4 linked regions of the Oreochromis niloticus genome follow. The protein of the gene in region 2 interacts with the protein of the main gene of each other region in a pairwise test. Links are inferred from orthologs where the notes say so. Each region holds a gene or a part of one and is shown on either strand. Other genes may lie near its edges.

The links.
Region 1: the proteins of hsd17b14 (region 2) and tbc1d22b interact in binary tests that used the Homo sapiens proteins (3 or more experiments, as listed by UniProt). The link is inferred for Oreochromis niloticus from reciprocal best matches to the Homo sapiens genes HSD17B14 and TBC1D22B.
Region 3: the proteins of hsd17b14 (region 2) and srek1ip1 interact in binary tests that used the Homo sapiens proteins (3 or more experiments, as listed by UniProt). The two-hybrid records come from large-scale screens. The link is inferred for Oreochromis niloticus from reciprocal best matches to the Homo sapiens genes HSD17B14 and SREK1IP1.
Region 4: the proteins of hsd17b14 (region 2) and mpg interact in binary tests that used the Homo sapiens proteins (3 or more experiments, as listed by UniProt). The two-hybrid records come from large-scale screens. The link is inferred for Oreochromis niloticus from reciprocal best matches to the Homo sapiens genes HSD17B14 and MPG.

What each region holds. Positions count from the first base shown.
Region 1 is NC_031984.2:33,124,289-33,132,282, forward strand, and holds the start of tbc1d22b (TBC1 domain family member 22B), read left to right. Parts: upstream 1-4,993; 5' UTR 4,994-5,252; coding exon 5,253-5,308; intron 5,309-7,994. Other genes in the region: myt1b (myelin transcription factor 1), read right to left, coding at 621-732. UniProt on the Homo sapiens protein: May act as a GTPase-activating protein for Rab family protein(s).
Region 2 is NC_031969.2:29,966,861-29,974,769, forward strand, and holds the start of hsd17b14 (L-fucose dehydrogenase), read left to right. Parts: upstream 1-4,896; 5' UTR 4,897-5,212; coding exon 5,213-5,294; intron 5,295-5,387; coding exon 5,388-5,426; intron 5,427-5,552; coding exon 5,553-5,650; intron 5,651-5,802; coding exon 5,803-5,869; intron 5,870-5,973; coding exon 5,974-6,065; intron 6,066-6,468; coding exon 6,469-6,573; intron 6,574-6,653; coding exon 6,654-6,721; intron 6,722-7,315; coding exon 7,316-7,412; intron 7,413-7,909. Other genes in the region: kcna7 (potassium voltage-gated channel subfamily A member 1), read right to left, coding at 1-325. UniProt on the Homo sapiens protein: Catalyzes the NAD(+)-dependent oxidation of L-fucose, yielding L-fucono-1,5-lactone, which rapidly converts spontaneously to L-fucone-1,4-lactone. Can also act on D-arabinose and L-galactose, with lower catalytic efficiency. Does not use NADPH.
Region 3 is NC_031980.2:34,249,511-34,256,777, forward strand, and holds the start of srek1ip1 (protein SREK1IP1), read left to right. Parts: upstream 1-4,250; 5' UTR 4,251-4,396; coding exon 4,397-4,409; intron 4,410-6,139; coding exon 6,140-6,187; intron 6,188-6,494; coding exon 6,495-6,647; intron 6,648-6,911; coding exon 6,912-6,987; intron 6,988-7,267. UniProt on the Homo sapiens protein: Possible splicing regulator involved in the control of cellular survival.
Region 4 is NC_031969.2:24,448,384-24,455,468, forward strand, and holds the start of mpg (DNA-3-methyladenine glycosylase), read right to left. Parts: upstream 3,009-7,085; 5' UTR 2,815-3,008; coding exon 2,545-2,814; intron 743-2,544; coding exon 538-742; intron 293-537; coding exon 1-292. UniProt on the Homo sapiens protein: Hydrolysis of the deoxyribose N-glycosidic bond to excise 3-methyladenine, and 7-methylguanine from the damaged DNA polymer formed by alkylation lesions.

The sequences.
Region 1 (7,994 bases), on a different chromosome or scaffold from region 2:
TTTGAAGTAGTAAAACTAAAATCACCTTTTGATATATCAGTTGACCAATTTGACTTTACTTTTGTTATCTAAAGGGTTAAAGCTATAGATAACAAAGAGCTGAAAGAAACTGGAAAGTTCCCAAATGGTTGTCCCTGTGAGCAAAAAGTGCAAAGGACCTCATGGAAATGTGTTTAAAGTTGAAAGCTGAAATTTTCAAAAGGACAGCCATGAAAATAAAAGAGTAGTACCCACCGAAGCAGGCATTGTGAAATTGTTAGCATGCAAAAATCCTTTTTGCACTTTGGGCTTTTAGTTCAAAATCAAGACAGACATAAAAGAGGCTCATCTCTTTATTTCTTTCTTTGCATGTCTTACATTTTTACTCCTAGCATACTTATGGGTCCAATTATTAATTAGATAAACACTTTTTAATTTGAACAATCCTTGCCCCTTTTATTATTTATGGATCATGGGATGTATCAGCATTTTTAGTGAGGGACTTGTGATCTGTCCAGCGTATACCCTCCAAACCCTCAAATGTAAGCACCAGATGATGTGCACATAAATAGTTTGTGCAGACTAAGCTCTCCACACACAGCACTCATACAGACTTCCTCATCGTGAGCGAGCCATCTTACCTTTCTCAACGAATTCGCAATCCTTCATGGCCCAGTCACAGTCAGAGTGTGTAAGCACAGCTGTTGATGACCTCTTGACCTTGAGATGAAGAATTCCAGTATACATCACCATGTGCCTGAAGAGGATACGCAAACATTTAATGCTTCTGTATGCACATTTTCACAGTACATTTAATTGTGAGCTTTGAAGCCAAAGCATGCTAAAAAGTTGGGGAGGTTTTCCCTTTCTTTTATTCACATCTGGCTAGTGCCTTTTACAGTAAAAAGTATAAAATAGTAGATGATTACCATAGAACTATTTTGAGCAATGTTGACATAAGTAACAGGAAAGAAAAAAAAAAAAAAAACTTACCTCCACTGAATAAGCTCCAACTCAAAAGTTCAAAACTGTTTTCAAGACTTCTTGACCTCTTATATTGGTCAATATCTTCTTGCTCAAACAGTTCAGAAAACTTTAAAAATAACTGTTAGCTGAACACTGCGCCACGGTGACAGGACAACAGAAAGAAAAAAAGTTCCTCTTTTCTTAAGAATGCTGTCGGAGTGGTTTTGTTGCCACTTGAGCATGCAGGAAGAGAAAAAGTCACAATGCTGTCCTTTCAGGGGTTAGAGGGAAAGCAAAAAAAGGGGAGGGGGGTCACACAAGCCAAAATATGGCTGAGGGCTTAAACTCCACTGAGCATGTGTCATACATTTATTTTGAAAAACCACTTATCTTCAATGTACTGTTCAGGAAAATGCATGCCATTAAAGATGAACTATTTAGAACTAAAATATGTATTTACAGCAGACGAGTCAAAACATGCCTTCATCTAGAAGTAATTCAATAAATAGGCACGGTTTCCTGACAGCAGGAAGATCAAAGTAATAGCAGAGAGTCATTGTGCCCCAGGCAACTCCAGCAGTCCCTCACACAGCTCCCTATTGTCCTGCCTTGTGACTACAAGTGCATCCCCTCTCAGCCTGCTCCTCTCATGCTGCTGTTTTCTTCAGTGAGATGGCCACACCAAGCAAAATCCAGTAGCCAAAAGTCACAAGACTGCCTTGAGAGAAAATTCCAAACAGTCTCTAAAAATAGTTATCTTCAGAAAATGTTTCAATGGAGTTTTCTTCAATCCCAGTGATATGAAATCCACAGCACACACTTGTTCCCCGCAAATATTAACTCTCACCTGGATTTTGTCAGTTGAAGTCCGTTGAACGCTTGAAGAGGAGTGAACAGGTGGGTGGGTGCTGCAGTGATTTCCCTAAACAAACAGACAAAGGAGAGCACCTGCAATTCAAATACAAGGCCAACATGTAAAACGAAACCAATTCATGTCCCAAAACCTTTATTTGCCTGTATTTGAATGCAGCCAACAGAGGCCAAGATGCTCTATAGAATACCAAATAAGATGATTTGAGTCAATTTGCTTCTTTTTTTCAGGAAAAGCATGACTATGTCCCCACTCTGTGGTCAGGTATCTGTTGTTGATAACACCACAGAATAAGCAGCATAAAAGGATAATTCACTTTTCAAACATTTCCAGTAAATAGGTAGTAGTTGAACTGGTTTCGTTTTGAGCAAAGCTCTTTAAGTGGAGCAGAAGATGTCTGCCCCCATGTGGATGGAGACTGTAGATGCAGCAACTGGGGGAAAAAAGAGAAGTATTACTTAGCATGAAGTTGCATGAAGTGAGGGTCAACAATCAGAGGAAGCATTTTGATTTGCATGACAGTTTGTGGCTTGAAGAGCTTGCAGTTGCTCCAGTAAGCTACTTGCCTCTGATCAGCCTGATGTACGTCTGTTAATTAACCAAAGGATAGCGGTTTTGTTTCCATTTCCACATTCTTCAACTTTATGTCACAAGGTCATCCAACAAGAGGTTAGCCACTGACACAAAATTGCTGATCTTTTAAATTCTAAGAGGACTTATTTTGTTTCAGACAAAAGGTCTAACTGGACTTATATTACTTACTGGACTTAGTACTTATATAGCACTTTTGTTGTTGTACACTCACAAACCTGTCAAATCTGCATTTGAAACGTTGGCTACCATAGCAGTATAGTATTGCAACATGGCATTTGAGTCTTCTAACTAAAATAGGAAAATATGAACATATATAGTGCCATCATTGCCAGACCTGGCCCACATCTGGTTGACATACACCCTGCCATGACACCACTCAGTCAGAAGTGCCAGCTTGATGCTGGATCCAGGGAAGACCTGTTTTCTATGGGCCTGGGCCATATCCACCAAACCACAATCGAGCCAGATATGGCATGCCATCACATAGACAGTGCCATCTATGCCAGGCCTGGCCCATATCTGGATGACATACATCTTATCATGCCAGAAGTCAGCCAGAAGCGCCGACTTGAGACCAGATCCGGGCCAGACCTGCTTGCTATGTGAGTAAGCATTCAGGGCATGTCCCACCGGGAGGAGGCCCCGGGACCAGCCAAGGAGACGCTGGAGAGATTATATCTCTCGGCTGGCTTGGGAACGCCATGGTGTTCCCCCAGACAAGCTGGAGGAGGTGGCTGGGGAGAGGGAGATCTGGGCTTCTCTGCTTAGGCTGCTGCCCCCGGTTTACCTAAAACACGCTTTATTAACTTTCCTACACTGAATGATCAGAAAGCAGATAAAATATCAAAGGCACTGGTGCTTGTTTCTGTTAAACTTGTGTGATTCTGCAACTGAAACGAAGCAAAATCCTGTGATATTCATGCTAAATCTCTGGCTATAGAAAAAAGTGGTTCTAAACAACAACGAGACTTTGGTTTTAGGTTGTGACAGTTAGAGTTAGTATAAAAATGACTTGGTTGCAGCTTAAATGTGCTTAAATTTAATGTTGTTATTTCTTCCTTAAGAGGTTATAACAGGTCAAATATGCTGGGAAAATGGTGACTTGAAAACTTAAACCCATCCATGTGCTTTGAAGGCCGGAAACTCTGGAAATGTTCAAAATATTTATATTTATTTACTACACAAAAATAATCAGCAAATTAAGATAAGAAGTTCAATCAATTTGATTGATTTTATAAGGAATGACCCACAATTTTATCACTTTATAGTCTTCTTCTTGCCTCACCATCAGCTTCTCTTCTCCGGTTGCAACAATAAATTGGAAAAAGACTTAAGCTTCAGGATCAGATCCATTTGCACATGCACTTTCAAGAGCCTTTTTTTCTTTCAAAGTGGTTTAGGAATGTCTTGATCCTCAATCGTCCAGATAAGAAATTCCCAGAAAGTTGATTGTGTTTATCTGGATGCAGCATTTTAAGGAATTTACTACACTAAAGCCAACCTTGAAGAAATTTTCCCAAATCACTCCTAAAGTGCTCACTCTTCCCGAGCAATACACATACATTTTTATGTTATCCTGAGCTCTCTGAAGTCTTTGGCATTTCCTGAAAATCACACGCTTTTTACACCTCTGGAGTGTCTTCTCTTGTAGGCATGTTAAAGGCTGAACCTTTCAGGATAGTTATCAGGTTGGCCTAAAAACTCCTTGAAAAGCCTTCAGTTGGTCCAACATGCTACAGCAAAGAGTATTGACTGGGACTAGGAATAGTCCAGGATTGCATTTAAAATTCTGCTACTCGCATTCAAGGGCTTGAATAATCAGGCCCCATCTTATCTTAAAGACTTCATAGCACTGTATCACTCCAATACAGCGCTTGACTTTCAGACTGCAGGCTCACGTGTATGCAAGGACATTTAAAAGTAGACCAGGAGACAGAGCCTTCAGGCCATTTTCTGTGGAACCAGCTTCCAGTTTGGATTCGGGATACAGACACTATCTCTGCCTTTAAGATTAGGTTTAAAACTTTCCTTATTGATAAAGCATATACTTAGGGTTGGATCAGGTGACCTTAGCCCTCGGGGGCTTCACATGATGCACTGGGTGTTTCTTCTTCACCCACCTTTTATCACATGTGTTTATACAACCACACTCCATTTAATCATTAGTTTACTATTCATCTCTGGCTTTCCCAGTGTGTCTTCCCTGAGCCTGGTATCATCTGTAGGGAGTCATCTGAATGTTTATGGTTTCTCTGTAGTATTGTAAGATCTTTACCTTACAATACAAAGCACCACGAGGCGACTGTTGTTTGGATTTGGTGGTATATAAACCAAAATGAATTGAAATGAAATGACCTTGTCTCAGTTGCTCTGCTTAAGTGGTTAAACCAAACACATCACTATGCAGGCGTCAACAGAGGCTGGAGTCCCAACAAAGACTGCATTAGAATGGTGTTTGAGGTCGACACCAAACTTTCCCCTACCAGCATCCAGTGTCAACGAATCACGTCGTTGTGCCTGTTTATCCGTGAGCATCACTCACCGTCGCTCGACCGCGAGCTCGTCCGATTGGCTGCTTTCGCTGCACCTGTTAGACTCTGGCACCAATCACGCGCTCCTGTCGGTGCGCCCCAAGATGGCGCCTTACAGTGTGCTGTAGTGTACATCATCACACTAGAAAGCGAATATCACTATCACTCGACCGTTTAAACTCATGAGGAGGCCGCGCAGAGAGAGCCGAGCGGGGCCGAGCTGTCGCCAGTGAAACGCGGAAGCGTTTGCCGCATGGTTTCTTCACGAGAGCAGCCGGTTTTGGTGTCGGTCTGACGGGGGTTATCTGAGTATGGCCACCGACAACAGGATCAATTTTTGGAGGAGAAACGCAAAGGTTCCTGGAAGGTAGGTCCTCTTTTCTTCATAAAGTAGTACTACATTTCTTACTGAGTTTCAAACGGGCACTGTTGAAATATTGTCGATAACAAAGACACAAATTAATAATACTCTTTTGTTCCATGGATTAACTCGTAACTAACAGATCTGTGTGGAAACACGAGCGCACAATTCAACTGTTTCGCTGGATTTCACGCGTGAGCCGCTTCCAGTGTCTCATTCGAGTGTGTGTTGTTATAACAGCTCCCAGCTCAGAGGCAGAGCCCCATCTCTTTCTTCTCTGCGGTTTCTAACGATCACACTGGAGGTGGCAGCTGTCTGTCAACCGCCATATGCTTTCTCAGTCTATGCTGAGAGGTGCTGGTGACAGTACAGTAAAACGATCAAAAACATCGGGGAGGAAGAATGCACTGTCTGAACCACTGGCACGGCACTAATATCTTATTTTGTCATCTCAGTGGGTTTTCTTGGAGGAGTCACAGGAGCAGAAGTTAAATGAAACGCATCCTCGTTTTATGGCAGCATTACTTAGAGAATGGGGAGGACACAGTAAAGACATTACTGTATACAAATGAAATGTGTATATAGTAAAGATTATGTTACAAGAGTGGGGAGAATCATAATTTTAATAAAGTGCACAGTAGAAAGCCTTTGTGTTTAAAGTGTCGTGTAAATAGATATTTAAAAAGTTTCTACTCATTGCACTGCCAAAAAAAGAATAAATAAAAAAAAGTACATCTTTCAGACACTGACTTCTAAGCACACAAGAAAAAATGCAGGGCCCTCGACCCCATAGACTGATGGGGGCTCTATCCACCTGTTGGGAGCATTTTGGTGATGATCACTGCAAACGGAAACTAAGGGGGAGAAACATTGCACTTTGGGAATGCTGATTTTGGGATTAAAACCTTTTCTTGGGGGGAAACGCTTACAAAGTTTTTAGCAGTTTTTAACGGTGATTCTATATGTACAGGGATTTAAAAGAAACTCCTCAAATAAGTGTCACAAAGTGAGGACAGGCAGCACGATGGCTGCAAAGAACGACTTTGCTTTAATCAATAAAAAGAAAACTCAAAATGCTGTTCTCGGTGATCACCATTATCCTGTAGTGTAACATCTTAATAACATGCTAATAAGGGGTAGGGGTGCACCGAATGGGTTTGTAAGTGTTTCATTCTTAACAGATTCTAAACTGTGTACTGAATAGTTGGCAAGTGTTTGCAAACCAGTTGGTGTCATCCATGGGGCAGTCTGCTAGTAATCACAAGGTCTTTGATGCAGTGATGTATACCTTTTGGGAGCAGTTTCGGCTAGCGACTGGCAACAGGTTGGAGAATAGTCATTTTTCCCTAGTAACTGGTGGTTGCCAGCCAGTCACCAGCTGATATGTAGGTAAGGCCCAGTCACACAGGTCTAACCTCATTTGATAAAAGTGAATATCTGATTAAATTATATATAATGCCTGTCAGGGTGAACACTTTAATATTAAGCACCTAAATTGGAGAGTTTTTGGCATTATAGTGTGTCTGTATTTGTATTTCATTGTGGGATATTTATGCCGGTATAATGGTCTGAGTGTGTATACTTAAATATTCGCCTGAATATAGAATGCATCTGCTGTATTATTGGGTACAGTTTAATAATTCTTGGAATCAGTGAAAATACCATATTTTGCCATACTTAACAGTATGCTAGTGTTTAATTTTGGATGCAGCCTATGCCAAGACACATTGAAACTGTTCTGATGGCAGGTAGGGACCGAGCACATTATTGAGGCACTTTTTTTATCTTTAATTTGTTACCCACGTGTGCATTATTTTGTCTATAAAGCACTGCAAGACAACAGAAAAATAACAGAACTGTTTTTGCGGATGTTTCATTTCCTGCTGCAAACTTCATTTGGAGTTTGTTTATTAGTCTCTAAGCTAAATATAATGGGAGACACATACTTGAGCTAGGCTAGTTCCAGCATGCAGAGCTTACGCAATAGGCATCATGGGCATGGCTAATAAAGGGGAGAGTCCCTGCTTTCCTTTGTTTTTTGTTTAGTTTTTTTGTTGTTGTTTTTTTAGTTATTTATGTGCGCAAGTGGAAGCTAAAAATCCCTCACGCCTTACTGATACGACAAGACACTTCTTCATGTTTAAGCGTTTGTATTTTTATTGACCTTGGTGTTTTTTTTTATGACCATCAAGACTGATAATCCGATTGAATGACCTTTCCTGGTACCATCTAACTGCCAGAGGGTGGAGCAGAGAAAAGAAGTGGGTGGAGGTTGGGGGGGGGTCAGCCTGTTATCGAAATCTGACAACACGGGATCTCCAAGGAGAGGGCGGTGCTGTCTTTGTCACACACTCTGATCTGGGGTGGGTGGATCGTTAGAAACGCAAACATATGTTTGAACAGGAAGGCTAGCAGCTAGTCTTGCTGCCTGTCCTTGAGCTGCTCCTGATAAAACAAGTGTGAGGCTGGTAAACAAGACACTCTGGCACTGCCAGATAATCAGCAGGCTCAGTTCTCAGCCTTAGGCTTGAAAAGCTGCAGTTTGACAAACTCCATATTATTTGCAACCCTGTGATATTCTCACAAAACCCACTCAGTTACTTAGAATAATTGCATTATCATGACTAATGGATAATATTATGAAAAACTAGAGATATTACATTTTTTTAAAAGTATTATCATAGTATTTTCA
Region 2 (7,909 bases):
AGACTTCATTCCTCAGAGGGTCGAAGTAGCGAATTCGACGCTGGGGGTCACCCAACAGGGAGTCTGGGAACTGAGCGAGGGTGCGCAGCTGGGTCTCATAACGCATCCCTGACACGTTGATGGCCAGACGCTCCGTCAGAGCCCACTGACACCGCCGGCGGTTCTCCCTTCTGGGATGGGCCCTCGGCTCCTTGCTGCTCTCTTTCTCCAACTTGTTCTGCTTGTTTTTGGCCTGCTTATCTTCATCGCTGACCTCCTCAGCTTTCTGTTTATCTTTTGTCTCGCCTCCACCTCGATCTGTACCTCCCCCCTTATGATTGTCCATGTCTCAGCCTGGAATAGTTCCAAGTTTTTTTGTTTGTATTATTTTTTCTTTGTTCTGCAAGACGAAAAATCAAAGTTACCCTTTTCACATCATACTTCCAACAACCAGTTACAACACTGTGTATAAAAGGTGTATAACAAATAAATTCTGAGTAAAAATCTGTATTTCAGCATTTATGAGTTGATTCTTTTAGCAAATCTATTCAATTTTTATATTTTTTTTACTGTTACACTTTATTGTAACACACCAGAAAATGTTACACCTGTACACCCTTCCCTGAACTGACTTAATGGATTACATTTATATAGCGCTTTTCGAGACCCTCAAAGCGCTTTACAATTCCTCTATTCATTCACTCTCACATTCACACACTGGACTTTTTGGTTCAATCAAAATGGATTTTAAGGTGATTTTCTCCGTCTCCATAGACCATCAGAGAAACTGCTGTCAGCTCCACTTGTCTTAAAACATGCTATACAGTGTCTTTGTTTAGATTTGATTTCATACTGCATGCACAAATTCCAAGACATGCAGTTACTGTAAACCCACCTTAGTTCAGCTCCTCCTTTCACCTGCCTGCCCGGCAGCTAATGCTTCAGGCTAGTGCTTCAAACCCCAGGCGAGTGACCATGACCCTCCTGCTGTTCCTTCACCTCCATGTGCCTTCTGGGCCGACCCATCATCACACCATCCAGGCAACCCCTCCTAATTCTCCCTTGAGTCACATTTAGGAGGTGAGGGGAGGAGATAGAGGGAGTAGTGTGCTTCTTCAGGGGCTGCTGTGGTGTTAATCTGCCACCGTGGGTAAAGTTAAAATTGTTAAGCTTGTTTATAGGTCACTCACTGTCTGCGCTTGCACCCTTGCGCTGCCTCTCGCTCTCAGCATGGGGAATGCTGTTAGGCGGAAATTCAATCTTGGATTTGCTCCTTTTCCAAGAGCACGCTGCCTATTCGCCCACTTTTTCTGACCCCAACAAGCCTCCTCACTCAAAAATGTCAACCTCTTACAACCCTAAGTCTGTCTTAAACATGCTGTGCATTCTTACATACACTTGTAGCCTGATCTGTACCTGAACTAGAAAGTTTAAAAAGGAGAATAAAAAATAAAATAAGGGAGCAGTGTTTGCACCATGAACATGATTTACACTCTAGAATCATACCACAAACATTTGGTTGGTATTTATGTTTTTTCCCTCTTTTGCTGTTGCATCTTAGATATAAATTAAAACTTGCAGGTTACTGTGGTTTGTGCAGAATTATCCACAAATTGGATCAGAGCAGTGATAAATCTGTCATGAAATGTGACCACACCATTACTCACTTTATGTTAAATATAAAACTTGATTTCTGTGGTTATTTTAGACACATCTTAAATTATACACCAAAACATCTCTGAGTCTCTGGGTCTGTGTGCAGGAAGACTTTTCTTACTGTTGCCTTCAAATACTTCAAGTAATTTACAGCTCTTAAGTGTTTATTTTCACAAAGGGTTTGTAAAGTTTGCTCTTTGCATTCCAAATCTCCAAATCCAATTTTGATACTTTGAATAAGAGTAGCTGTTGCAGAGGACTGTAGGTCGGAATGTGTGGGAAAACCTGCTGGCTTGTTTACTGCAAGCTGCAGCTGAAGGCACTTGGAGATCCTGGTATTTTTGGCTCACTTTATTAAACTGTGTGAGATGTGCTGAATCCTTTACTGGCATAGTGAGTGGTATGGTAGCATGCAAGCTATGCTCTGTATAAAAAAAAATAGATGTAGCTTCCAGGTCTGAAAAGTGAAGCAAATGTGAAGCAGTGTGCCTTAAACTGTATTCTTTGTAATGGCCAGCAGGGGGCTGACGCCACAGGTTGCAGAAAGAAGCCCAATTTAAAAATAATTTGTGAGTTGGTGAGTTTATGACCTCAAATATTAGTTTAACCTTTAAGTTAATAAAGCACAATGTTCCTTAAAATTATTATTATTATTATTATTAATAATAATAATAATAATAATAATAATAATAATACAGGCTGATGTCCAAAAATCTGAATCCCTGAAAAAAATCAGGAAGTTTAAGGATTTCCAAATTTTTATTTTTAAACACAAAATGTTTTGCCATGTAAAATGAGGAAATTAGATTAAAGTTCATTTCAGCTTCTACCTTATCCACATGTTTTAAGTCACATGCCCTTCCTGAGCCAACTTCAAAGGTTTAGTGTCTCTGATTTTTACCTCCAATCGACCCAGCACCCTTTTACACGAATATGTTGACCAGTGAGGCATGAAAATGAAGAAATGAAATAATTACGTTTAAGATTAAGTATACAAAAATGAATACTTTTAACAAAAGGCCAGATCTCCTTGATCTTTAAGTGCTTTATAACTGCTAGAAACATAGCATCAGCAAGTTTAGTGGGAAGCAGGTGCTTCATACTGTCAGGTAAAGACACTACAGTATTGGAGAGAGATCCCCAACAATCAGACGATCCCATTCGTGCAAGTGCTTGATAATGGGGAGTAGGAAGAACTTCCTTTCACAGAACGAAACTAATCATGTCCAGTCTGGGGCGGATCTAGAGAAATTTTTTTTAGAGTGGCATGAGGGTGGCAAAGAAATCAAATGGGGTGGCAAAATCAAAGCCTTTTTTTCCCCAAACACATATGCAGGTGGTTACATATGGTTAAAATGATTCAAATGCAGTAAGTATACACGTTTTTCATATAAATATAGTCTATAACTTAATTATTGTCTGTAGCCCACATAATTACACACTTTAGTTACATAAAACATGTGAGTTTTGATATTATGTACTGTATAGCCTGTATAATAAATAAATATGTAGCCCAACAAGTATAAAATCCAGAAAGTTGCACAACATGGGGCGGTTCATTTACAAACACAAGTCTAACTTAAGTTTCACACTGTTTTTTGTTAGAAAACAATCACATTGTTACAGCTTAAATTACACAAAATGTCAGAAATCTGCACTGTCATGAACAAAAATTTAAACCTAATTTTTCATGATTTGTTGGATTAACCCACTGAGGTCTGAAATACAACCGGGCATTTTTGACTCCTTTTGAGTTTACGTTTGTATTTCACCCTCAGATTGTTTCATTTTATTTTTCCCCCTTGCCTTGTTTGGGATCATTCTTTTCAGCTCAACTGAATTTAGTTGTTTTTTTCACTGACATACTGCATTAGTATTACTGATCTGAAATCACACAAAGAACTTAAAATCCTAGTAGTATTTTTTTACTGAAAAAAAAAAACCACAGACATGTTGAGTAAATTTTTATAACTTGAAATGCAAATATAAATTGTACATTTTGTAAACATATCCAACTATTTATCTAAAAATGCAGCCAATACACCTGCCGTTGCTTTCATTTTGTACAACCATTTAAAAATATACTAAAACTAAAATGAGAGAACAATCAGGTGTTGCAATAAGATGCCCCACAAATGATGTGTGCCAGTAAAAAAAAAGTTTGTCCACCAAAAGACAGATGAGAACAGCACAGGGATAAACCTGCAGGCCTGACAACAGCAGGTGTATCACTCCGCTGGTTTTCTACTTAGTGACAGTGTTTACATTGCAAATGTGCCTTTGTGACATTCATTAGTGCCCTCACTGACACACACAACAAAACGACTGCACAACAGAACAGCTACACAAGACAACACAACACACTAACTGTACACTCCACACTAAACGTCACAAATCTCCCACATCTAAAAACTCTCTCACTCGCTCGCTCTGTCTCGCTGCCGTTACCGTCACTCTAAAAACTCTCCCCTCTCCCTAAACAACCAAATCCCACGTGTTGACTTTTTTAAAAATTGGTTGACATGGTACATTTTTCCACCGATAGGCTTCTTTTCCTTTCTTTACTGTTTTCGCGCTTTCCTTAGAAAACACTTAAAATACACACAGCACACATAAAAAACGTGACGACAGTATTTAGAAAAAAGCATGGATTATATATATTATCATAACTCTGGATTTACTGGCCTGTAATTAAAATTTAAAAACTTTGAAGTCCGAACTTTCAATGTGGGCTGAAACAGAGACTCAGCGTGGCTGCAGCTTGTTGCTATGTCAGCTTAACATAGTCATGTGATTTGGAGGTGCAGCGTGTCCGTGGACCACAGAGGGTTAATAACACTCATCTTCCTTCCATTTCCATAGTGTAACATCCAACCACCTGTGTAAAATCCGAAATTCCCGTGGTGTTGTTCAAAATGTGCTCTGGCACAATCATAAACATCGCTTGCTACTGATAACAAGAAAAAAGCTGGTCCTGCTGTGGGCTGAACCATTTGTTAATGGTAGAGGGGAGGAACACTATGCAATATATTCAGTTTTATTCACTGTTGACTGTAACTACGCTCAAACTGTTAATGCTATCTTATTTTAATAAACAACACTGTCATATGCAAAACTGGGGTGGCAAAGGATCATTTTAGGGTGGCACTTGCCACCCCATGCCACCCTTCTAGATCCGCCCCTGTGTCCAGAGTGATGATTTCTAAGGAAGCTGACATCAGCTTAGGGCGGCTAAGTTATTGGCACCCAAGCACAGATGTCCAGACACAGTTGAAGTAAAAAGGATATTATTATAAAAGTTCAAGAACCCTCTCTAGAGCTAGTTTTCTTGTGAATGTATGGATTTCCTACTATCCCCTATGCTCCTGAATGCAGCAAAGCAAACCGCATGATTTTGTGGTACTTTGAACTTTACAAACATGCTGACAGCGGCTGATCGTTTCTGCTGGCGGCGAAGACACAGAGGAGTCCTGCTGTAATAACTCCGAGCAGAGAAAGTAAGAACTAACCGTTATTAGTCCGCTGTTTGACAGCAGCGCCGCTTTGCGTCACATTTATCATCGTAATCGCAGACAAAATGTCCCTCCGCTACCACAACAAAGTGGCTGTTGTCACGGGAGGATCCAAAGGGATTGGCAGAGGGATTGTCAGAGTGTTTGGTATGAAAATGTCTTTATTTATGCTGGCAGTTTGCGCATGCAGCGAGGAGTGGCGCACTGAACATTTCTGCGACTTTTTTTTTTCTTTTATAGTGGAAAACGGAGCCAAAGTGGCGTTTTGTGCAAGAGAAAGTTAGTAAGGCTGTTTTTATTCTGCTGCTTTTTAAAACAGTTACACGAATTCACTTTTGCCAGCATATATGAAAAGAAAAATAATGGAGTGCAAGTTTTTGCGGCATGATCAGACGTGTCTCGTAGGTGCAGCAGGTGAAGCTTTAGAGACGGAGCTTAACAAGACCGGACCAGGCTCGTGCAAGTTTGTCAAAAGTGACATCTCCAAGGAAGAAGACATAAAGGTGAAGTACAGCTTTGTGGGTGTAAGGTCTGAAATGGACAGAGTCACATGATCACATGATGATCACATGATGATCACATGAGCTCAGAGAGTGACTCGGGCAGCCACTGCTGATGTGTGCTTGTCATTTGTTGGTTTCTCTTGTCTGTGCAGAGACTGATTGCAGTCACAGTGGAGCAGTTTGGTCACATCGACTGCCTGGTCAACAACGCAGGCTGGCGTGAGTCACACATGCATTTTTTGTCTGTTTTTCACCTCCAAGCAGATATGACGTCATGGCCGTCCTGCTTACTTTCCTTCTTTGTGTGAAATCTTCCTCTTCAGACCCTCCTCATAAACCCACCGATGACACCACAGCGGAGGAGTTCAGAGACTTGTTGAATCTGAACCTCGTCAGCTACTTTTTGGCGTCTAAAGTAAATTTTCACAGCTTTGCGTGCAAGTATATTCTGTCTTCTGTGGAAACAAAGACAGGACATAAAGATTAAAGTGATACATTTAAACACTGATGAATGAAATAAATAACAAATAACTTTATTATGAAAAGACAAGCGGGGAAACAATACAGGAAAAAAATGTTTTCAGTGGTCTTAAAAGTACACGATCATATCCTTAACATGGAATCTACCTCCTTTGATATCAGGATTCCAGGATTTCCAGGTTCTTGCATTGACTGATTGATTTTAGCCAACGCCAGTCTGACTAACTAATAACCCATAAACCCGTCATACCTTTCATTTCTGTTTGAGCTCTTGGAGTAATCGAAACATTATGTATAGAGGATCTTTGCACCACCTGAAAGTCTCGCTCTCTCTGCAGTATGTGTTACCGTACCTACGAGAGCGCCAAGGAAACATCATCAATATTTCCAGTCTTGTGGGAACTATCGGTCAGAAAGATGCTGCACCGTATGTTGCCACAAAGGTGAGCTTCTTTCCTCATTTCCTAAATTTCAGCCCCCTGCCCAATAGAAGAGTACTGTAATGTGATGTCTTCTCCACAAGGGGGCGATCATTTCCATGACAAAGGCAATGGCAGTGGATGAGAGCCGCTACAATGTGAGAGTCAACTGGTGAGGCAAACTGGCATCTGAAAAAAAAGTTTTCTAGGGAGAAAATATATTTTTAATTTCCAGATTAATTAATTGGATTTCACTTTAATCACAAGAATAAGATATAAAAATGTGTTGAGTCACAGGCTCCCCCGCCCCCAATTCATGAATTGCATCATGCAATTAATGATGCAATTAATGAATGCATCATTGATTGCCGAACTGAACTACGGCTTCAAGAGTCAAATCCAGTCCTCACAATCCTGAGTGTCCTTGTGGCTGTGGAGCAGCCGATGTTACACATTTATTTCTTTATATAAGGAGATATGTGCGAGTGTGCTGGTTACAAGGCTAAAATGAATACTAAATAATTTTGGATATAAGGAAAGAAATTAAATTAATTGATTACTAAGATAACAAACAACTATAATTAAGCATTAACTGGAGGTAAAAGACAGAACTACAGTGAAATAAAAAATGTGATTCTGATAAATAAAAAGAATTCAGGTGTGAAATAAAAACTGAATGTGTAGAGATTCTACAAGTATTTCATTTCCTTTATTTTAATAATTATGCATTTCTTTGTCTGATCAGAGTGTCTGGCTTTTGTTGCAGCATTTCACCAGGTAACGTGATAACACCTCTGTGGGAGGAACTAGCAGCACAGACACCAGACACTGCCGCTACCATTAAAATGGGGGAAAATGCTCAGGTACGTTCAGGAAGGCGTTCAGAAGCCATGTAGATTATGGGTGCTGGTTAGTAGTGAGGAGCTGAGTTATGCAAAGTCATTCATGAAAAGTTATGAAAAATGAACCGTGCCATCATCACATTGGATCAGGGCAGCGAATGCCTCTGGCGTTGTTGGTCAGCAGGCTGCTGGTGGAAAGTGTGCTACTATTGGCTCAAAACAATGGAAGGGGAGAGGGGGAAGGTGTGTTAGGAGGTGGCGTGAGAGAAGGAAAGGCAGGAGTGTGGCGGTCAGAGATAGGGACTTACATGTGAGGAGCTAGCTGATATGAAGGAGAGAAGGAGGCGGATATTTTTCAGAGCCAGTGTCAGACAGGTTAATGAGTTTGAAGCTGGAAATCGTAGAGGTAATGTTGAATGTTGTCAGTGTGAACGCCGTGTAGGTTGGATGTCAGTTAGAAGAGATGGAGGAAGCTAGATAAAGTGCTAGATTTAGTCCCCAGGAAGGAGCCAGTGGTA
Region 3 (7,267 bases), on a different chromosome or scaffold from region 2:
AGGCCAGTGGACACTCTTTCAATGATGAGGATGTACACATCCTGGACAGGGAAGAACGCTGGTTTGAGCGCGGAGTCAAGGAGGCCATTTACGTGAAAAGGGAAAGACCATCTCTGAATCGAGGAGGGGGCCTAAGGGTACATCTTTCGCCATCTTACAATGCTGTGATTGCAGCCATTCCCCAACTCTCTGTGAATGGTACTCATGGCCATTGATCAGTGGTCTTTGATCAGTGGGTTTTGGTCAGTGATTGTTGATCAATGGTCATGGGAATTTGCATAATTATGATTAAGGAACTGACCTCACAGCCCATTGTTCCTTCAGTGGGCTGGTTTCAGTCATTATGCAAATGGACTGTTTATAAGGGTTGGGGAAACCTGCAGTCAGCTGAGACTGAAGAAGTCACTTGGATGAGTGACGAAACGTTTCTCCCACAAAACGCTACGTCCAGATGAACAGATTCAACTTTTGGAGAATAAAATATAAGATTTCCTATTTTCCTATTTAGTCTAAATACATAAACTGTTCAATCCTTTCAGTTTCTCATTAAAAACTTCATGCTTGCCCACACTCTCAGAATAACCATTTGGCAAGATGGTAAAAATACCTTTGAATGGATGTATTTTTCCCAGTTGGCTGCGGTCGTGAGGTCTCAGAATCTGCTCTGTGAGCAAAAGAGTGACAAGATCACGGAATCAATGGCTAATAACATCATGGAGAAACTCGCAGCTATCCAACGGGAGATTGAGAGACCAGTGTCGGAGTGTTAAAAACAGGTTGAAATTCTCATGAGTTGTTTGCAAAAAGAAAAATCACCATCATAATGCGGCTACCCCTTCGGCGCCAGCTGTGGGCTCAAGGCTGGAGCTGAACAAAAACTTCCTGATAACGACTGTGTTGAGTCTGTTCCTTCACATTCCATACAAGGCCACCTGGGTTGGCTGGAAGACTGTTTACTTAGCCTGGCAGGGCGAAGGACACTGTCTCAGCACTCACTGACGCATCACCCTCCCTACCCAACGCCACCTCCAACGCTTACCTCCCCTCTGATGTGGACATCGGGTCAGTTGGAGGCGCAGTCGAAGATTGCAGCGGTCCCAGATCAGATGTACACACTGGAACACTTTCCCATGTTGCTTGTCTGTGTTTATTGTGTTATGGTGTGTTGATATCTGTGCATTCCTGTATTATCCTTTTGTGTTACATATTTCGATGTTTTTTTCCTCGCTACCTGGCCTGACCTGTCTCCCCAATGTGATGTTTGTATTGTATGTACGGTCGGCAAGGTCTGTCATCTCGGTTGTGGGCAAAAGACTTGCAACTGACAAATAAAGGCTATCTCATCTCTCATCTCTCATCTCTCATCATCACAAATAAAGGAGTATGACTTTTGAATACCTGAACAGGGCCTTCCTTACATCTGTGATCAGAAGTTTACCTACAGTCATCACAGGCTTGGTAATTTTGGGCTTTTAATTAATTCTTTGAACTGTTCTTTTTCCAGGGTGAATAAAAATTATGTGCAGAAATTCACAAATTTGAATTTATTTTGGCATCTTTCTAATCTACAGTATACATACAGCATACAGGCTAAACTATATATAGACTCACCTAAATCTTATAATAAGTGATGTTGGAGGTTCTATGATGTTTTTTAACTTGACATTTATCTTATCTTGACCAGCTAATTTCTTGTTAGTTGGTACAAGTTATATGACTGTGTGAGTCCACAATGATGGGAGGTATGTTTGGACGAGTAAAGGCAAGGCTTTCAAACCTAAGATCACTGTACCAACTGTCAAGCAGATTAACATTAAGCCTCTGGAACGGCTCAACCTCAACCCTATTGAAAACAACACTTAAACGTTGGGTCTCTACCAGGAAAACAATCAATTTAAATGAACTCTACCAATTCTTCCAGGAAAAGTGGTCAAATATCCAGTCAGAATTATGAAAGAAGCTTGTGGATATTCTTTGGGGCCTTTTAGTTAGGGCCTTTAGGGCCTTTTAGAGAATATGCTTCACTTCTGATTCAATGGTCTTCTCCAATTCTAAAACAAAAGGCAGAGTCCTGGGTAGTTATCCCCTTGTGGGGTTCGTCCCCTTTAGAGATGGTCCTGAGAGTCATTGACCCCATGTGAGCCAATGTGTGAAAAAATGGGTGGGTTGTCACCATCAGTAGGGGTTAATGGTGAAACCACTTTGAGAGGTTCACCCAAATTATCATGTGACCTATTGAGGTCATCTGAGACGTGGTATGAATTGAAGCACCTGGGAAGCGATCCCTGGTTGTGGTAACGACCCACACCTTTTTTCACACAAGTACCCATATGATGACTCACATGATCAATAGAGGGTCAACGACCCTCAGGACCACCTCCAAAGAGGACAAACCCCACTAGAGTTAAATACCTGGTACTCTACATCTTTTGTTTTAGAACAAAGAAGACTCTTGGATGAGAGGTGAAATGTCTTCACAAAACCTAAAGAAGTCCAGTTGCCTTCTTTTTTCAATCTCCTAAGAGTACCATGAACTGGATGACTGAGAACCTACGCAGACAAGCTTGTTGATGGCTATCGAAAATGTCTAGTCAAATGTAACTTGCTAAGAGATATTAAATCAAATAATAGTAGGGGTGTATGCATATTTTACCCCTGCGTGTATACTTTCGATCCTATGTGTAATAGAGAAAACACATTCATCCCCATGGTGATTGTATGTAAACTTTTGACCACAAGTGTAATCTAGTTTCCCCAAAAAGAATTCCCGTTTTATCACTACAGGACATTTTCCAGTTTTAGTAGGAGAACTGCAGTATTACACACCTACAGTATATTGTGTTTTTCAGCTCGCCCTTCTCATCTTGCCTCAGTACTTGTTGAATTTGGTGATAAAGGGATTTAAAAGTCTTTCGAACAGGTTAATGTACATATTCGGGTCTCAATATTGCCTACTGTATGCATTTAATGCTTATTTGTTAATGGTATACTTCAAAATCCCCCCCCAACACACACACACACACACACACACACACACACATACCAAAGAAGATGTTTCTATGTATTCTATGTATGTATTTGCTAATTCAATCTGACATGTAATCAACATTTAAAGGACCGGGGAATTTTTAGCCACAACCCAACTGAAAATAGCGTGAAGTTAAATGGGGCAAATTCATTTCCAGCTTTCCTGTATTCATTTTGGAAATCCTTCACTGCCTTTTGTTTTATTGGCTCTCTTCATCTGTGGTTTTCATTTGTGTTGTTGTTGGAAACCTATAGAAGCTAAATCCAGGTGGTCAGAAATGCTAAATAGTAACTAATTTGAGGTTGAAAATTACATAATACGAAGTTGTTTTTAGGAGTCTCTAAAATCTGTTTTATTTCCTTTAGTTTATGATTAAGCTGATTTGACTTGGGTCATGCAGTTCATGGATCATAATTTCTGCTAGTTGTACTGTAACACCTTGGCAGTTTGGGGGCTCATTTCATAGTATTTTTAGCATTTATAGTTTTATTTTAGTTATTTTATTTGCTTTAAATATCTTGCTTTTGTCTATATTTTCTCTGGAGCCACGTGTGCATGTGTGTGTGTGTGTGTGTGTTTTTTTTTTTATTTCCTGCAAGACCATAATAAAAAAAACTAATAATAATAAAAATGAGGTGCAAAAGTTCTTTGACCGTGCTGAACTTCAGAGCTGTGAGGCATCATATGTGTAGTTGGAAAGAACCTCATTTAGATATTAAAGAAGGTAAATCACATCATTAAAACTAGCCCACGCTAAAGCATGTGGCATCATCAAAAGATCAGGACTGAGATTGTTTTCGTGTATGTGTGTCCGCGCATTTGTGTCACAGCCACAGACATGATGATGAGAGCATGTCTGGGGGCCATGCATCTGTCAACATTTTCCATCTGCCAGTCCGACTCTAGCTGCCTGCAATTAACCCCTTACAAAAACCACAGCTGACTTTACTGGCAAAGCAGTCATGCATGGTACAAATATTTCAGGGTTTTTTTCTTATAGCGTCACCAGGGTCTGACGATGGCAGATTCTTCATAGTTTATATAAGTGTAAACATTGGAGACAATAGAACATTATATTTAGATTATTCACTTTTCTATGTTTTGTTTTTTTCACAAGAAATCCTTGTGAAAATATGTCACACAGTCTGCTGCGCCAACTCCTTTCCATCGGGCGGCGATAATGCGCCACTAGTTTGGTTTTCCTGCCGTCAGTAGGGGAAAAAAACGCGAACAAAAGCAGGGGGAACGCGGTAGTTTCTAGAACAAGTGTTTCCTGTCGACGTTATTTGGTGTGAGGACGCTGTTGGCTGATTCGCGCTATAACAACAATAAGTTTTGCTGTTTGGGGGCTTTATTTTGGACACAGTGATGGCTGTACCAGGTGGGAATTATATTTCAAATGTGTAACTTACTTAACTTCGCAGTTTCTATTGTATTATTCATGTAGGTTTCGCTGGAATGGTAAGAGCTGACAGGGTAACTAATGCATTGGTAACACAAAGTGGGGCTTACGTTTACGCTAGCTTAATGTATTTTTAAAAACACAGACCCTTTGATGTGAAGTCTGTGCAATGACTAACCCAGCGAGAAACTTGGCTACGTTTAGCACACGTGGTTACATGACGGGTGATGTACAAATTGGCGTAAAGCAGAGTACTTGTAAATGTCCAGATACTCCATATAAACAGTCATGGATTCGATTTTAGTACTTTTTGTTAGGATTAACTCTTGTAAGTAGCATTAGGCTTATCACCTTTTTGGTTGAGTAGAGAGAGTAAAATAATAATAATAATGATAATGATAATTATAGCAATAAATCACACAACATATACACTCAATTAGTCACTTTATCAGGTACATCTGTTACCCTTGTTGCTTTTTAAAGTAAATAATCAATCAGCTAATCACGTAGCAATAAGCTGGTGCATTTAGTCAGGTCGACATGGTTAAGGTGAGCTGCTTAAATTCAAACCGAATATCAGAATGAGGGGAAAGGTGATTTTGAGTCTGCTGTGGTTGTTAGTGTCCGATGAGCTGGTCAAAGTATTTAAAGTCGGTAAACTCAGACTAAACAATCTATGGGGTTTTGAATGGAATGAAGAAGAGATCATATCCAGTGAGTGGCAGTTCTGTGTAAAATGCCTTATTAATGCCAGAGGTTAGAGGAGAATGGCCAGATGATCTGGAGCTGATGGGAAAGGAACAGCTATTCAATCAAGGTATGCAGGAGAGCATCTCTGAACGCACATGTGAACGTACATTTTGAACCCTGACACAGAAGAGCCCACAGCAGCAGAAAACCACACAGGTGAAAACTGGACAGTAGCTGATTTGAAAAAATGTTGCCTGGTCTGATGTCACTGCAGCTGTCAGATGGTAGGATCAAAATTTGGCATAATCAACTTGAAAACATGGATCCATACTGCCCTGTATCAGCAGTGCAGACTGCTTATGGTAGTGTCATGGTGTGGGTGATATTTCTTTGGTACACTTTGGGCCCCTTTGTAATCCAACAGCCTACCTGAATATCATTTTTAACCATCCACCCCTTGATGTCCAAAGTGTGCCCTCCTCCTGATAGCTGCTTCCAGCACTAGAATGCGCCATAACTCTCAAATAATGTCAAGCTAGTTTCTTGAAGATGAAAATGAGTTTTCAAATGGCCTCCATAGTCAGCTGATCTCAATCCAGTAGGACACCCTTAGGAGATTCACGGCACAAATGTTCAGCCGACAAGTCTGCAGTAACTGTGTGAAGCTATCATGTCAATCTGGATCAAAACCTCTGAGGAATGTTTGCAGCACCTTGTTGAAGCTTTGCCATAAAGAATTAAGACGGGTCTGAAGGCACAACGCAGTCCAGCCCTGCACTAGCAAGGTGTACTTAATAAAGCAGCTTTGAGTGTATACCTACTGTATGTTTTGGGTGCTTAAAAGTCAGAGTAGGGGCTCATTCTTTATCACCCTTTCAGCACTTTATATAGAGCTCAACCAGTATGTTCATCTTGTAAAGGCATATGCATTTAATTACAGGTTTACATAGTAAAGTAGTTGGTGAATGTGAATGCATACTTGCATGTAAATCATTAAAAAGCTCTTAACAATCTTACAGGACCTAATAAGGACAACATCAGAGCTGGGTGCAAGAAATGTGGCTATCGTAAGTAAAACTAACCATTATTTACTACAAGCTTCAGAGATGTGTGGATGTTATACTGTTATGCTTGATATGCTCCCATATTTACTCAGTGAAAAAAGATTTATAGATTTATACAGTTGGGATGGAGTCTGTTTTATGGTGCCTCTTACCCAGCCTTTGAGCCAGATTTATTTTGGAAGTAAATTGTAATTATGTTATTTATTTATTTTTTGACTTATTCACATTTCCTCTTATGAGTTTCAAGGTTGAGGTTCAGAGATGTTAATAAAAAGTGTCCTCACCGCTCTTTCTGACTTTCATCTTTCAGCGGGCCATTTAACATTTGAGTGCCGAAATTTTGTTAAAGTGGACCCTCATAAGGACATTGTTCTGGATGTGAGCAGCACCAGCAGCGAGGAGAGCGAAGATGACGAATCTCAGGTTCAACGCAGCGAGAAGCGAAGCGGGCAGCATCAAAAAGGTCAGATTTGATTAACCTGCCCTTGATTACTGTAAGCTTTTAAAATATGCATTCATTTACTGCAAGGCAATTTGCAATAAATATAGCAGTTTTACATAATTCAGCATCCAGTCAACATCAATACAAGCTGGAGCTTGAGTAAAATCCAAAGTGTGGATTTTTGCAATTGGACAGCAGTTATTTTATTAGCTCTTTATCTTTATTTATTTATTTTTGATGAGGCCTCTTAGTTATGAGATTAAAGGTGCTGCTTTTGCGTGGTAGGTTCCCATGACAGCGATGATGATAGAAAAAGAAGACGAAAACGGAAGAAGAGCAAAGAGAGAAAGTCAAGAAAGAGGTAACCTAAATATTTTTCTGATGGCCCAATCTACTTGTTTGCACATGTTCATCTTATATGAGTTGATGTATTAAGATAGAGCTATGACAGTGTTGTAACATACTTGTACTCCACTGCAGTCATCCTTGTATTTATAGTACCTGAGTATTTACTTGCACTATTTGCACAAGTCAGACTCGGTATATATTTATTACCTTTGAAGCTTATTCGCCTGCTTTTCTGAAATGAAAGTGTGTTTACCTTCATAGATAAACTGAGTTGTTTGATTTGTTTTTTCTTT
Region 4 (7,085 bases), about 5.5 Mb from region 2:
CATTCCCCGTGGGACTCTATTCCGATGCGTGGTGCTGATACGATGTCTTGGGGTTTTGCCGGACTTGTGTCGGGATCATTCTCCAGCCACACTTCTGGGTCTGAGGCTAAGTCTCGACGGTCAAAACATCGGGGTATATTTAGAGCCTGGCAGAGCTTTGAAGGCCCATTGCAGAGCTCTTTGTCCTTCAGCTGACGGGCTCCCTCTTTGCGTCTGGCTGCCCTCAGCTGCCTCATGACGGCCTCACCCTGTAGGGGCTCGAGTGAGCGCAGCAACACAGCAGCACCCTCCCCTGAGCAACACAGCACACAATATGCATCAGTCAGCAAGGCTCCATTCTGTCTCCTTCCTTTTACCCTTTAAACAGCAACTATTGAAGCCATGAACTGCTGTTTATGTTTAATGTTGTAATAGTGAAGACGGATCAAAACTGGCCTTTTCACATCCATTGTTAATAATAATAAATATATGAATGTACACAAAATGAATGACATAATGTACACAACATATTGCACCTTTGGTGGGTATAGCATTTACCTTCACTAGACACGTTCATGCATAGGTAGATGCCATAGATTGGATACACGTAGATTGTGCCAGGCTTCATAAACATGGCTGTGTTTCTCTCGGTGCGTTTGCCTCCTGCCGAGTGTGAGGCCTTGTCCTCCCCTCCAAGGTAAGCTTCAGTTTCCACTATTCTTCCTCGCAACTCCGTACCATCTGCACACCTGTGGACCAGCACCTGCAGGAACAAGGGACAGCAAGATTCTTTCTCTATTTCCATAGGATAGTGGGTTACATAGATTTGTCATTTAGCTGAAGGATGCTACCTACAAAAGACAACTCTGACAATCAAAACCACAACAAATGTCTATTTTAAATGTCGTGACAAAAGTCCTATGAAAGCAAAATAATAAGTATCTGTTCTGTTAAGCCAAATATTCCTTTTGCTTCAAAAACTGAGTGTGGACATATTTTCATGAGGTGTACAATGAACGATCAAAGAAAATCCATGCTTGCAAGCATGCCAGTTTTGCTGCTAAAAAAAAAAAAAAAAAAAAAAAAAACTACACCTCAATCACACTTTCATGAATCTTGATTAATGAAATATTCCAGCTCAAAATCTTTATTGATTTATACTTGTTGGGAATAAAATAATGAAACTAAAAATAATGAAAGGAAAGCTAGATTTAAAAAAAAAATCACAGCCAAAGACAAAGTTAGAAATTAAAATTGAGTCACAACTTGTATCACAATGTGGCTCAGTATTCTGCATAACCCAGTACACACTCCCAACAATGTGTGGGCATGCTCCTAATGATAGTGTGCGTGGTGTCCTGGTGGATCTCCCCCAAGACCAGGATCAGGGTATCAATGAGGTCCTGAAAAAGTCTGTGGTGCTAACTGCCACCTTTGGATGCACCATAAGATCCCAGAGATTCTCAGTTTGAATCAGTTCTGGGGAACACAAGGGCAAGCCGATGGCATTAATGTCTTCAATACCCAGGAACTGCATACACTTCTGGTCACATGAGACTGGAGCATTGTCCTGCACCAAGTGAAACTAGGGCGCACTGCGCCAACATAAGGACAAGGGGTCTGAGGATTTCTGCAGGGACCGTGATGTGCTCGTAACCTGCAAAGATATTGCTATTACCTACTGCCAAACCTTCATGCTGGAAGATGCTACAGGCAGCATAATGTTCCCCACAGTATCTCCAGGCTATTTCATATCAATAACATGTGCTCAATGCAAACTTGCTCTCGATTGTAAGGAGAACAGGGTTTCAGTGGTGGACCTGCAAGTTCTGCTCACAACTGTACAGTTCTGGGGTGTGATGGAAGGTCTACTGAAGTATGTTGTGCCACCCTCATGGAGGGTGTTTCTGACAGGTTGCACAGAAATATATACATTTACACTATAGAGATTTTGCTGGTAGACACAATAAACCTTCCAAAGGCTTGTATGTGCCATCATGGAAGAGGTGGACTACCTTTGCAGCCTGAATGGTCCGCAGGTATTAGTGACAAAACTAGAAATAAAATCAGTTAGGCTGAATAAGGAAAGAGCAAAACCTGATAAATCATTCTCTTTTTGGGAGACTGTTGTTTTTGCCTCTCCACTACACCTGTTGTCAATTTCATTTGCACTAAAAAGGGTAAACTAGGTAAAATAAATACACAATGGTTTATGGACAGATTAATATCTCTGAAGTTAGCAGACTTTGTGTTTTTGAAGAAGCATGTGTGTTTAAATAAACAAATAAGCAACAGTTAGCGTTAAAAATGGGAAACAGTGCTTAACAACTTAAATACAATCACGGAAAGTAAGTTTATCAGGGGCTCATTCAAAAGTATAGAAGCCAGTTACTAAGATATAAATTGAAAGGTGAAGTTAAAGTAAAAAAACAAAAACAAAAACAAAACAACAACAACTTTAAACTAAACTACATTTTCTTCCCTACATTTTGTGCCTCCTGACTTTTAAACACACAGACACATTTACATACAAAGGTGTTAAATTCAGGTGAGAAATCAGCCTACCTTGCCGAGGAAGGCTTTAGCTAAACTGATGCAGGGCTGCTTGAAGAAGTCCTCTCCTAGCCTGTGCTGCTGCTCATTCTTGGTAAAATAACGGCTTCGCTCCGCCTCAGCACTCTGGGCATTTTCGCACTGAGTGGGCTGCTTCTTAAGCGCGGTTTGTGAGTCCTCTGGCTTCAGCTCCGTCTGCTTGTTGTGTTTATTTGACGACACGGTTTGTTTAGATGCTGCCGCCGACAGCGCTAGCATCTTTCTTTTTCGGGCTGCCATCATCTTATCGTAAATTCAGAAGGTCTACAAATTTTTAAAAAACACATGTAGGACGGCGTGTATTTATAAACCCAACAATACGTTTATTCAATATTCAGCATTTAATTCACAATACAAATAATCTTGTGAAAGCCGTTCACGTAGTAGCATACCGGAAGTGAATATAATTGTTTTGGTATCTCTTAAAGGGACCGCGCACTCCTTGGAGGCAGTAGGAGAAGTTAACCTTCAAGGCTTTCTCCTAAAAAGATTTTATTTTCCCATCTATATTATTTTATATTTCAGTTGTGGAAGAAAAAAAATATTTATGGTTAAGAACAGGTGAAAATAAACATGTTTTGCAAAGATTGAATGGAAAAAATCATGAATGCAGTTTTCTTCTCTTTTTGAGCTGAAAATGTTTAAGCCAGCCACTGACTGTTCATTATGGAGCAATTCTATGGTAATAAGACTGCCTCTAAGAACAAATGTCCATCGTTTTCTCACAAAATGACTTTACAGTGCATTATGAATTTCACTCTTCAGCACAGCAGCCACTTTGCCGAAAGACTACCTGACAACCTGTGCCCTTTTCCTGCTGCTGCCTTATCTTTTCAGTCTCATTTGGATAATAAGAGGTTATAAATAGAACCGCTCTGCGTGCTCTCCACTGCCTGTGCCCAGGAAGTTGACGGCGCCAGTTTGGCCCCAGGCGCTTTGAGCCCATGCGGCTTTCTGGAAGACTAACAGTATGTGACGTGGTCATGCCACAGACCACAACTTCAGCAGGGAAATACAAGTTTGCTTTTTTGCTACTATGGAGGCAAATCTCTGGCTGTAAAAAGGAATCAGCCTATTATGATGCAGATGAAAGGAATGAACTGCAAGTCAACTAATAAAGATAATAAAGATGGACTTGATGTACCTTTCTTTTTTGTCTTCACACTTTTACATTTGTGCCCGTCTCCATGTTGAGTTTCGACTTTTATTTATACATGTGAAAGAGGAAAATAAGCACAAAAGTGTCATCTTCCTCATTTGGTCATAGATTCTGTGTGGCATTGCACAAAAACAGATGACCGGGACAAATTTGCATGGCTAGTCATTCAGTATCATATCCTGTACTTTCTCTTGTCTCCTTTTTATGCTGATCAAGCAATAATTTAATGTTGAACCTCTTGAGGTTTGATTTCCAGGTTTCCTCAAGAAACTACACTGTGATCACCGTGTTCATCCAAGGGCTTCTAATGGAAACCTCAAGTGACTTATTGAGCCAGAATACATTCCAGACAGAAATCTGCTGAGCATGTTCAGTAGAAGTCTCCTGGAATGGCTTGTTGACTTTGTCATGGCTGGTGGGCCAGAGAAGACCATTGTTTGCTGTGACTGTGTTGCTACTGCCCGTCAGCAGTGCTTGTGCGGTTTGGGCCGAGCAGCTTTCATTGTTGCTGCCACTGATAATCATAGCAGCCACATTCTGGATCACTGTCAATTCCAGCAGCCACCTCAGCGATCGTGACGCTGAGCAGGAACACCAGAGACTGGGCTGTGTGTGCAGATGGACGAGCAGAATGCCGCCGGACTAAAAATGCCTTACTACACGATGACTCAGAGAATCCTATGAAAAAAAGCAATTGATCTTTTGGGTTTCATGTGCAGTATTCAGTGTATTTGTGTTTAATTAAGGGAATGGTAAACTTATTTTAAAGTGACACTCAGTGGACTCTTTATTAGGTACACCTTTTTTAGTACTGGGTTAACTCTTATGCTTTCATATCTGCCTCAATTTGTAGTGGCACAGATTCAACAAAGTGCTGGAATTGTTCCTCTGAGATTTTGGTTTAGCAGCTTTGTGATATTATTACAGATTTGGCGCAAATTTTTCAGCTGCAAATTCATGATGCAAATTTCCTATTCCACTACATTCCAAAGGTGCTTTATTGGATTGAAACCTGGTGACTGTGGAGACGTGTGGCGTGAAGGGAACTCACTGTCATGTCCAAGATGAGATGATTTGAGCTTTGTGACACGGCTTGTTGTCATGCTGAAAGATGTGTATACTGTGGTCACAAGGGAGGGACATGGTTAGCAGTAATATTTAGGTAGGCTGCTTTAACACCGTTACACCATCACCAGCAGCAGCCTGAACTGTTGATACAGCGCAAGGTGAATACATTTCATGCTGTTTACACCAAATTCTGACTTTCTGATTTTTTGTGACATCCAAATGTCACAGAAAAATTGAGACTCATCAGACCAGAAACCTGGTCCTATTTTTAGCTGACAGGAGTGACCTCCCTGTCTTGTCGTCCCTTGCTGTTGTTTATCCATTTCATGAGTTGGCATTCTGTGAATTCAGAGATGCTCTTCTGCATACCTTGGTTGAAACAAGTGGTTATTAAAAAAAAAAAATAATCCAGTAGATTTTTGTGCAGGAAAATCCTAGTAGATCACCAGCTCCTGAAATATTCAGACCAGCCTGTTTGGCACCAACAGCTATCCTGCATTCGAAGTCACTTTAATCACATTACTTTCCACTTCTGATGCTCTATCCTTGAACTTCACCAGGTTGTCACGACCATGTCTACATGCCTAAATGCATCGAGTTGCTGCCATGTGATTGACTGATTAGGTATCTGCATAACATGCAGCCAAATAGGTATACCTAATAAAATGGTCTGTGGATGTATGCAATAGCAGTTTGGCATTACTACATTTAGTTTATAACTGTCTCTCTAAACACATTACATCAAATGGATGTCTAAAAAAACTAGCTAAATTTATATCTCTATTTTTGAGTAATGTTTATACGATATCTTAGGTATGAATGTCAGTAGCACCATTGCCAAACTCAGACCATTACGTAGTTTAATTAAAATAATTTCCCTGAAAAACTATTATGCTTTTAAAGAAAATTCCAAAATATAATTTGAAGTCTTAAATAAAAATATTTAAAAATATTAAAAATAATATTTTCTGTCATCGGGGCGGTAATAATGTGGACAGACAGAATCTCATGCATTATAAGTTTTATATGTATACTACATTGTACTATTGCATGATGATTGTTATTCTTTTGGATTTTTTATTACTATTCATATATATGTATATATATATATATATATATATATATATATATATATATTTAACTTAATCATTGAACTTCTGCAGAGCTCCAAACCAAATTGTGTTGTACTGCATGGTATATGTATGACAATAAAGACAGATTCTAGTCTATATTAAGTATCTGTTTGAGACGTAACACCATGTCGGTATTATATGAGAGTCATGATTTAAAAAGAGACAGCCATGATGTTTGTTGGTGTAAATAAACACAACAAACTATTATTGGCATTGCTGAGATTACGTCTGGTCTTGGTCTGTGTTTAAATTTGTATTGCCTGCATGATATAATCAACATCCAAGCGCCATAAAAAGCCAGCAATTAATTTGAAAGAGATTTTAGTGCTTAGTGTTGCTCATTCCATTTCACGGGGAGTTAGTCTGAGTTCGTTTTCAGAGAGCCTTTTAACCATGGTTATTAAAAAAATGTGGACATTGTGCATTTTTAATAGACCTCTTAACATCATTTCTCTTCTTCAGAACAAGCTTTATGTCAATAGATAAAGTTTCACAATAAAGATACTTCCAATAGGACATTTAACTTCATTAATTTATGTGATGATTAACCTTCTTTACCAGAGCAATAACTCCACATGACTGGAGGGTATTCTTACCAGTACTACAAGAGCCATTAGGTGGTAGGTAGTATTTGCATCCTCAGTGTGATGGGATTAATTATTAATTGCCAGCAATTAATGATTCATGCACCTCCTTTCTTGTTTGCTGCAGAGGTGTGGCGTGTGTGTGCTGTACAGGTGGCTGAGCTCTCATCAGGAGATGGAAGCAAGAGGATCACGTCATCTGACACCCAGTTCATACACCTTGCACAACAAAGAGACGTTTATAAAGAAACAGGTTTGTCTCTTTCCACATCTCTGAACTCACATGTAGAGTTTAAAACATAACCACTGCGGCTTAAATAGGCTTAACCACAGGTTAGCTAATCACTGTAAATAGTTCAAAGGTTCTCTTTGTTTATCTAAATCACACATAAGATGTTGTCAGTTTTTCCCAAAATTCCCACAGAGACATTCAACAGGTAGAGCTCATTATTTGTATGACTCAACTTAATAACATGAGAGCCCATGACAGTTTGAAGACAGTGTTTTTTATTAGCTAATCAACAGACAAAAACTTCGAGCTGTTTGGTTTATTGATTGAACCTGCCTGAC